2 linked regions of the Cricetulus griseus genome follow. The protein of the gene in region 1 purifies or fractionates together with the protein of each later gene. This does not show direct contact. Links are inferred from orthologs where the notes say so. Each region holds a gene or a part of one and is shown in the gene's direction. Other genes may lie near its edges.

Evidence for each region.
Region 2: the proteins of Ilk (region 1) and Gcn1 purify together in Homo sapiens (affinity purification with mass spectrometry; 3 studies listed by BioGRID and IntAct, with this or other methods). This does not show direct contact. The link is inferred for Cricetulus griseus from reciprocal best matches to the Homo sapiens genes ILK and GCN1.

What each region holds. Positions count from the first base shown.
Region 1 is NC_048596.1:93,960,274-93,963,622, reverse strand, and holds the end of Ilk (integrin-linked protein kinase), read left to right. Parts: intron 1-289; coding exon 290-455; intron 456-591; coding exon 592-687; intron 688-872; coding exon 873-969; intron 970-1,064; coding exon 1,065-1,148; intron 1,149-1,247; coding exon 1,248-1,333; intron 1,334-1,471; coding exon 1,472-1,581; intron 1,582-1,661; coding exon 1,662-1,789; intron 1,790-1,865; coding exon 1,866-1,987; intron 1,988-2,071; coding exon 2,072-2,171; intron 2,172-2,281; coding exon 2,282-2,412; intron 2,413-2,585; coding exon 2,586-2,735; 3' UTR 2,736-2,823; downstream 2,824-3,349. UniProt on the Homo sapiens protein: Scaffold protein which mediates protein-protein interactions during a range of cellular events including focal adhesion assembly, cell adhesion and cell migration.
Region 2 is NC_048597.1:95,684,170-95,687,736, forward strand, and holds part of Gcn1 (eIF-2-alpha kinase activator GCN1), read left to right. Parts: intron 1-105; coding exon 106-199; intron 200-1,489; coding exon 1,490-1,603; intron 1,604-1,719; coding exon 1,720-1,918; intron 1,919-3,103; coding exon 3,104-3,259; intron 3,260-3,543; coding exon 3,544-3,567. UniProt on the Homo sapiens protein: Ribosome collision sensor that plays a key role in the RNF14-RNF25 translation quality control pathway, a pathway that takes place when a ribosome has stalled during translation, and which promotes ubiquitination and degradation of translation factors on stalled ribosomes.

The sequences.
Region 1 (3,349 bases):
ATCAAGGAGCAGCAGACGCCAAAGAACCCAGAAGAGTGCTATCACCTAATGAAGAACTGCTAGGGAAGAGGATCTAGGAGATGGTCATTAAAGTAATAAACCTTACAGTTGTTGGGACATCTGAGTGACTGGGTGTGAAGCTCAAGGGAAAATCTGAATTGAACTTTGTGAATTGCTGACATGAGTAAAAATTAAGTACTAGAGAGGCAAGCCTTCTCAGTGAATATAGAATTCTCCCATCAAAGCTTTTGTCCCTCCCAACCTCCAATTCCATGCCTCTTTCTCAAAGGGATGATCATGGCTTCTCCCCCTTGCACTGGGCCTGCCGAGAAGGCCGCTCTGCGGTGGTTGAAATGCTGATCATGAGAGGAGCACGTATCAATGTGATGAATCGTGGGGATGATACCCCCCTGCACCTGGCAGCCAGTCATGGACACCGTGACATTGTACAGAAGGTATGGGCAAACCCTTCAACACCCACATCTCACATGTACACAATTGTGAAGTCAGTAACAGCTATTGTCACATGGAGAATGTGTACTATCTAAATTTGGGACTATATTCTTTTCTTTTCTTGGCCATGGGGCGCAGCTGTTGCAATACAAGGCTGACATCAATGCAGTGAATGAGCATGGGAATGTGCCCCTTCACTATGCCTGTTTCTGGGGTCAAGACCAGGTGGCAGAGGTAAGTACTCAGACCTAAGTCCTAGGATGAGTGGGAAACAAATTGAGCATGGAACCATCAACCCATCCTGTCAATCCTACTGTGTGACACTTACAGGACAGTACACTGCATCTCTGTTCGTGCTTGCTTGTGACACAGTTAACAGCCCCCCCTCCCCCTGAATAAAAATTATCTTTTCTTTGCAGGACCTGGTGGCTAACGGGGCTCTTGTCAGCATCTGTAACAAGTATGGAGAGATGCCTGTTGACAAAGCCAAGGCACCCCTTAGAGAGCTTCTCCGAGGTCCATTCCCTACCCCTAGCTTGTGTCCTCTTGTCCTATCTTGCATCTCTTCCCTCTATATCACAGTTAAGGCTAAGACTGTTTTTCCTCCCCAGAACGGGCAGAGAAGATGGGCCAGAATCTCAACCGTATTCCATACAAGGACACATTCTGGAAGGGGACCACTCGTACTCGGCCCCGTGAGTCACTGCTGTGGGGGGAAGGGCTGTAATTCAGGATCCTGGGCTAGTGAAGTGGGTTAGGGTGAAGCTGGGTACCTGACCTACCCATATTCTCAGGAAATGGGACCCTGAACAAACACTCCGGTATTGACTTCAAACAGCTCAACTTTCTGGCAAAGCTCAACGAGAATCATTCTGGAGAGGTGATCCCTGCCCTTCTTGCCCCTCCCTCTCTAACACTCACAAACTGCCACTCTGTATCTCTAAGGTTTTCTTCCAGTTAATAGAAAGGAAATAGTATAGCCTGAGCTAATACCGCCTAACCTCTACCTGTCCTTCAGCTATGGAAAGGCCGCTGGCAGAGCAATGACATTGTTGTGAAGGTGCTGAAGGTTCGAGACTGGAGTACAAGGAAAAGCAGGGACTTCAATGAAGAGTGTCCCCGGCTCAGGTGGGACAGCAAAAGTGGAAGCCCAAATAGTACTGAAAAGGGAAATTCTGTTGGGTCTCACCACTCTCTCCCTCTCCCAGGATTTTCTCACATCCAAACGTGCTTCCAGTGCTAGGAGCTTGCCAGGCTCCACCAGCTCCCCACCCAACCCTTATCACACACTGGATGCCATATGGATCTCTCTACAATGTACTACATGAAGGCACCAGTAAGGATACTGGCCTTGTTGGGGAGGGACTAAAATAGGGGTGGTAAACTCTAAATTAATTCTTGCTTCCGGTTAGATTTCGTTGTGGACCAGAGCCAAGCTGTAAAGTTTGCTTTGGACATGGCAAGAGGCATGGCTTTTCTACACACACTAGAGCCTCTCATACCTCGACATGCACTAAATAGCCGTAGTGTAATGGTGAGTCCACAAGTTCACTACTGGTCCCCAAAGCCCTCTGCATGCCTACAATAGGGCCCACCTTTTTGAACTTCTCTTCCTCAGATCGATGAAGACATGACTGCTCGAATCAGCATGGCTGATGTCAAGTTTTCTTTCCAGTGCCCAGGGCGCATGTATGCACCTGCCTGGGTGGCCCCTGAAGGTAGGTGAAGGCATCATGTTGGGAATTGAGAAGAACCAACACAATAACAGTGGAAGAGGCAGAGATAGGACAGGCTAGGCAGCTGGAGTAGTAAGCCCTCTTCCTTCCAGCCCTGCAGAAGAAGCCTGAAGACACTAACAGACGCTCAGCAGACATGTGGAGCTTTGCAGTGCTTCTGTGGGAACTGGTGACACGAGAGGTGCCCTTTGCTGACCTCTCTAATATGGAGATCGGAATGAAGGTGAGCATAGAACTGCACATACTTGTATAGGGGTAGTGGTGCTGACAATTGCTGTGGCAAGCTCTTCTCACAATTTGTGCAGATTTATAGTAATCCCATTGAAGGGTCAAAAGTTTTTTTACCATATGATTAACTCCAACTCTGAAGTTCACCTTGTTCCTTGTAATTTCCAGGTGGCACTGGAAGGCCTTCGGCCTACAATTCCACCAGGTATTTCCCCACACGTGTGTAAGCTCATGAAGATTTGTATGAATGAAGATCCTGCAAAGCGACCCAAGTTTGACATGATTGTGCCTATCCTGGAGAAGATGCAAGACAAGTAGGACTGGAAGGTCCTGGCCCAGACTCCAGAGGTGTCAAAACAAGGTTGGGGGAGTGTACTTCCCCAAAGCTGAAGGCCTCTGGTTGCCTCCCGTCTCCAATCATGGTACTACCCCAGTTATGGGGCTCATCCCTGCTCCCATCCCTACCACTGTAGCCCCAAAAGGGGCTGGGCTCAAGAGCTTTGTCACTTGCCACATGATGTCTCCCAACATGGGAGGGATAAGCCCTGCCTGTCACAATAAAGTTTATTATGAAAACAGGCTGGTGTGGGGACAGAGGGAAAGACAAATACATCTGGGTTAGGTGGCTCAGGTGAAGTAGTGCGGCTTCTTCACATTGATACCATATTCACTGAGGGCAGGGGTCAAGTCCTCCATGGTTAGGGTGTACTTGCGGTCCTAAGGGAAGAGGGAAGACCACCAGCTGAGCACAGTAATCCCAGATTCCAGTCCCTCGTAGATAACCCTGAGTAGGCCCAATACCGCCCCTAGGATGCTGCTTCCCAAAGGGGTTTCAGGATAAGTTAAGCCTGTACTGCTGTGGAAGGTGAGCCGCCTTTCACACCTTGCTCTTGCTCCGGGAGCTGCCAGAGGCTGTACCCTTCATTTTGCAG
Region 2 (3,567 bases), on another chromosome or scaffold:
CATGCATGAACACACACATACAGGTTTGCTGGCTAGGCTTGGTGGCTGTCAGAAGGCTGAGGAGCCTAGTGACTCTTTTGGGTAACTGGCTCCGGTGTGTTTCAGTGCCCAGCAGGACAGCATAAAAAAGGCCAACATGAAGCGAGAGAACAAAGCCTATTCCTTTAAGGAGCAGATCATTGAGCTCGAGCTAAAGGAGGTGAGTGCATGGATCATCTCTGGGGGCCTGCTGAGCTTAGCACTAGCTCTCTTGCTATGTCTTACATTCCCTCCTGATTTATCCCTGGTCTTCTCCAACCCTGCTAGAGAGAGACTGGGTTGTCACTGCACGTTGCTGCTCTGTCTTTCCGGCCCTAGCATTGTGAGGACAGGTGTGTCTTGATTCCTGATCCTGTGGAGTCCCAGGGATCCTTGAGATGATTGACAGAATATGCTCTAAAGAACTGGTTCTTATGAGAGCTCTAGCCTATCTCAGCCCATGCTCTCCCTCAGTCTTCACCAGGCTGGACTTTTTTTTTTTTCCTTTTACTTTGTTCCCTGCTCTGTCCCGACGGTCCGTGCCCTTCGAACTGCCGGCTGGACGATGACTCAGCTCAGGCTGGGCTTTCTTGTCTCGTCATCACTTGCCCTTCCCAGAAAAGGACTTACTGCCCATCTGTCCATGGTGTGCTTGCTTCACTCTCTTCCTGCTTGTTGCTTTTATAGCATTTGTCATGTTCCACAGTCGTTTTATGTATTTGTTTCCCTGTTTATTGTCTGACTTTACTTGCCAGGTTGTAAGCTCTGTGAGGGGAGGGATTTTATCTTCTCCCCAGTGTCTCCAGCATTTCAAACAGCTCCTGGCATGATGAGGTGCTCAATACTTTGAAACCCAAGCAGCCTATGTCCTGTAAGGGCCTTGGCTGGGTCTGAGGGCAGGCTAAAGTTTTTAATCTGAAGTCATGTGGCCACCAGAATACCCCTTGGAGATCGTTGAAGGACTTGTTATTTCTCCCCTCATCTTTTTAAGCTGAGAATCCTGATTAAAGTGTGCTTCTTTGCTGCTGTCTCCATTCTGTAGGCATCCAGTGGCTGTGACCTTTTATGGAGGGGAAGGAGGGCATGTGCTTGTAATTGTAGTTCTTAGTAGGTCTAAATAATAAAAACCCAGAGTCAGATGTAGAGGAAAATGCTGAGAGATCAGAGAAAAGGAGCAAACCAAAGCCACCTTTATCTCATTAGTTTACCAGTAGAAAAGGGCACAAGTTCCTGGTTTTTTCCTGCTTATATCCTCTCACTTCCTATCTGTCTATACAGACCTCCAGACCTCTATGATTAGCTAGTGTTAAGCTCCATCCTCTGATCTTCAGACAAACTTTATTTGTGCCACATATCACCACAAGTGCTGGGCTTGAGGCCCTGGTCCTAGACTTGAGTCTGACCTGGAATCCTTTTTGGAAGCGGGTCTGTTCCGTGGATATAGAGTTGGTTTCTGACCCCGGCCCTTCAGGAGATAAAGAAGAAGAGAGGCATAAAAGAGGAGGTGCAGCTGACCAGCAAGCAGAAGGAGATGCTGCAGGCCCAGATGGACAAGGAGGCACAAATCCGGAGACGGCTGCAGGAGGTAAGTAGCCATCACCAGCACATGACAGTGCCGGAAGGATCCTCTGTGGTCCATTCCTGCTCTTTGCTGTCTCGGGTTGGACTCTGCTGACTCTGTTCTGGTGGCTCTGCTTGCAGCTGGATGGGGAGCTAGAGGCGGCACTCGGACTGCTAGATGCCATCATGACCAGGAACCCGTGTGGCCTGACCCAGTACATCCCTGTTTTGGTCGACGCCTTCCTGCCCTTGCTGAAGTCTCCCCTGGCTGCTCCCAGGGTCAAAGGCCCCTTCCTGTCCTTGGCTGCCTGTGTCATGCCCCCTAGACTCAAGGCCTTGGGTTAGTCTTTATTTTCTGTCTGTGGGGTCATCTCAGGGATGTTTGGGAATTGGGCTGGAGGTAGCCATGGTATGCTAAGGAGATGTGTGGCCTAAGCTGCCTAATTTTGTTTCCACATGGAAGCAGCCTATGGAACCTCACACTGGATATGCTCAAGAACAGTGAAGTCTTGCCTCTTCCCTCCATTTTGCATTTTCTCTGACTTCTGAGGAGCAGCCTTTTTTTTTTTTTTTTTTTGGTTTTTCGAGACAGGGTTTCTCTGTGTAGCTTTGGAGCCTATCCTGGCACTCGCTCTGGAGACCAGGCTGGCCTCGAACTCACAGAGATCTGCCTGCCTCTGCCTCCCGAGTGCTGGGATTAAAGGTGTGCGTCACCAACGCCCAGCTGAGGAGCAGACTTTACATGCTACTTAGCATCTCATCTTTCTGTAGCAGCTTTGTTTTAGTGCTGGAGACCATATCTAGGGCCTTGTATGCTAGGCAAGTGCTCTGGTAACTGAGCCACACCCCAGCCCTTTGTAGCATTGTTCTCCACAAAGTCAGGTTCAGAGACAGTGAGAGGGTTGGTGTGCTGTGGCTGGTCATTGTGCTCAGAGCTCATGAGCAGCAGGTGTCAGTGACAAGGTCTGAAGAAACACAAGCCAAGCAGGTGGGTGGAAGTTACAATTGCCTTCTCTTGTGAGCCATTGGTAACTTTAAGTAGATTTTCTTCTTAGCCTAAAGGGAATGTTCTCATGACTGGGGTTGGAGTCTACAAGCTGTTCTGAGAAGAAATGTCAGTTGGTGCCTGAGAAGTATTAGTAACTCGTGATGGAGGAACTTTGTAGCTGGAACTTTACTGTGGGATCAGTGACTCTTGACTATTTAGTATCAAAAGTACCAGCTCTGCAGACATGGTACTTTGTGCCTGTAATCCCAAAACTTGGGAGGCGGAGCCATGAGGATCCTGTGTTTCAGGCTAGCCTGGGCTACATAGTGACATCATGCCCCAAAATAAACATCGCCCCCCAAAAAAACAAAGGGCAGCTATTGTGCCTCCCTCTTTGGATACTGTCACAAAGACTTAGTAATTAAGACACCTGCCACAGCAGGGGTGGAGACAAGGCTCCCACTGTTCCTGTGCCGCCTTTGTGTTCTAGCCAGATGTGGTGTCTTTGTGGGTCATTTGCTGCTTTTCTTCTCACAGGCACCTTGGTGAGCCATGTGACACTACGCTTGCTGAAGCCAGAGTGTTCTCTGGATAAATCCTGGTGCCAGGAAGAGCTTCCAGTGGCTGTGAAGAGGGCAGTGTCACTGTTGCACATGCATACCATCACCAGCAGGGTGGGCAAGGGTGAGCCAGGTAAGGGGCAAGGAGGCACTAGATCACAGGGCAGTGTGAGCTGGTGTGGGGAGTGAGGCAGGAGCCAAAGCGTCCCTAAGCTTACTGTGCCTTTGGTGTTGGGAGAGTCCTCTCTCTCTGGCCTTGGTTTTCCTTGTTTGCCTCTGTTCAGTCTCACATTCTGGGACTGGGCCAATCTGTGGGGTAGAAGTGGCCCTGGTCTAGCACCAGGTTACCAGCCATTGTGCCTGGCACTGTGCTTGGTATCAGGCTTCCAGCTTCTGTCTGCTCTGCTGCTCTCACAGATGCTGCACCCCTGTCCGCACCCG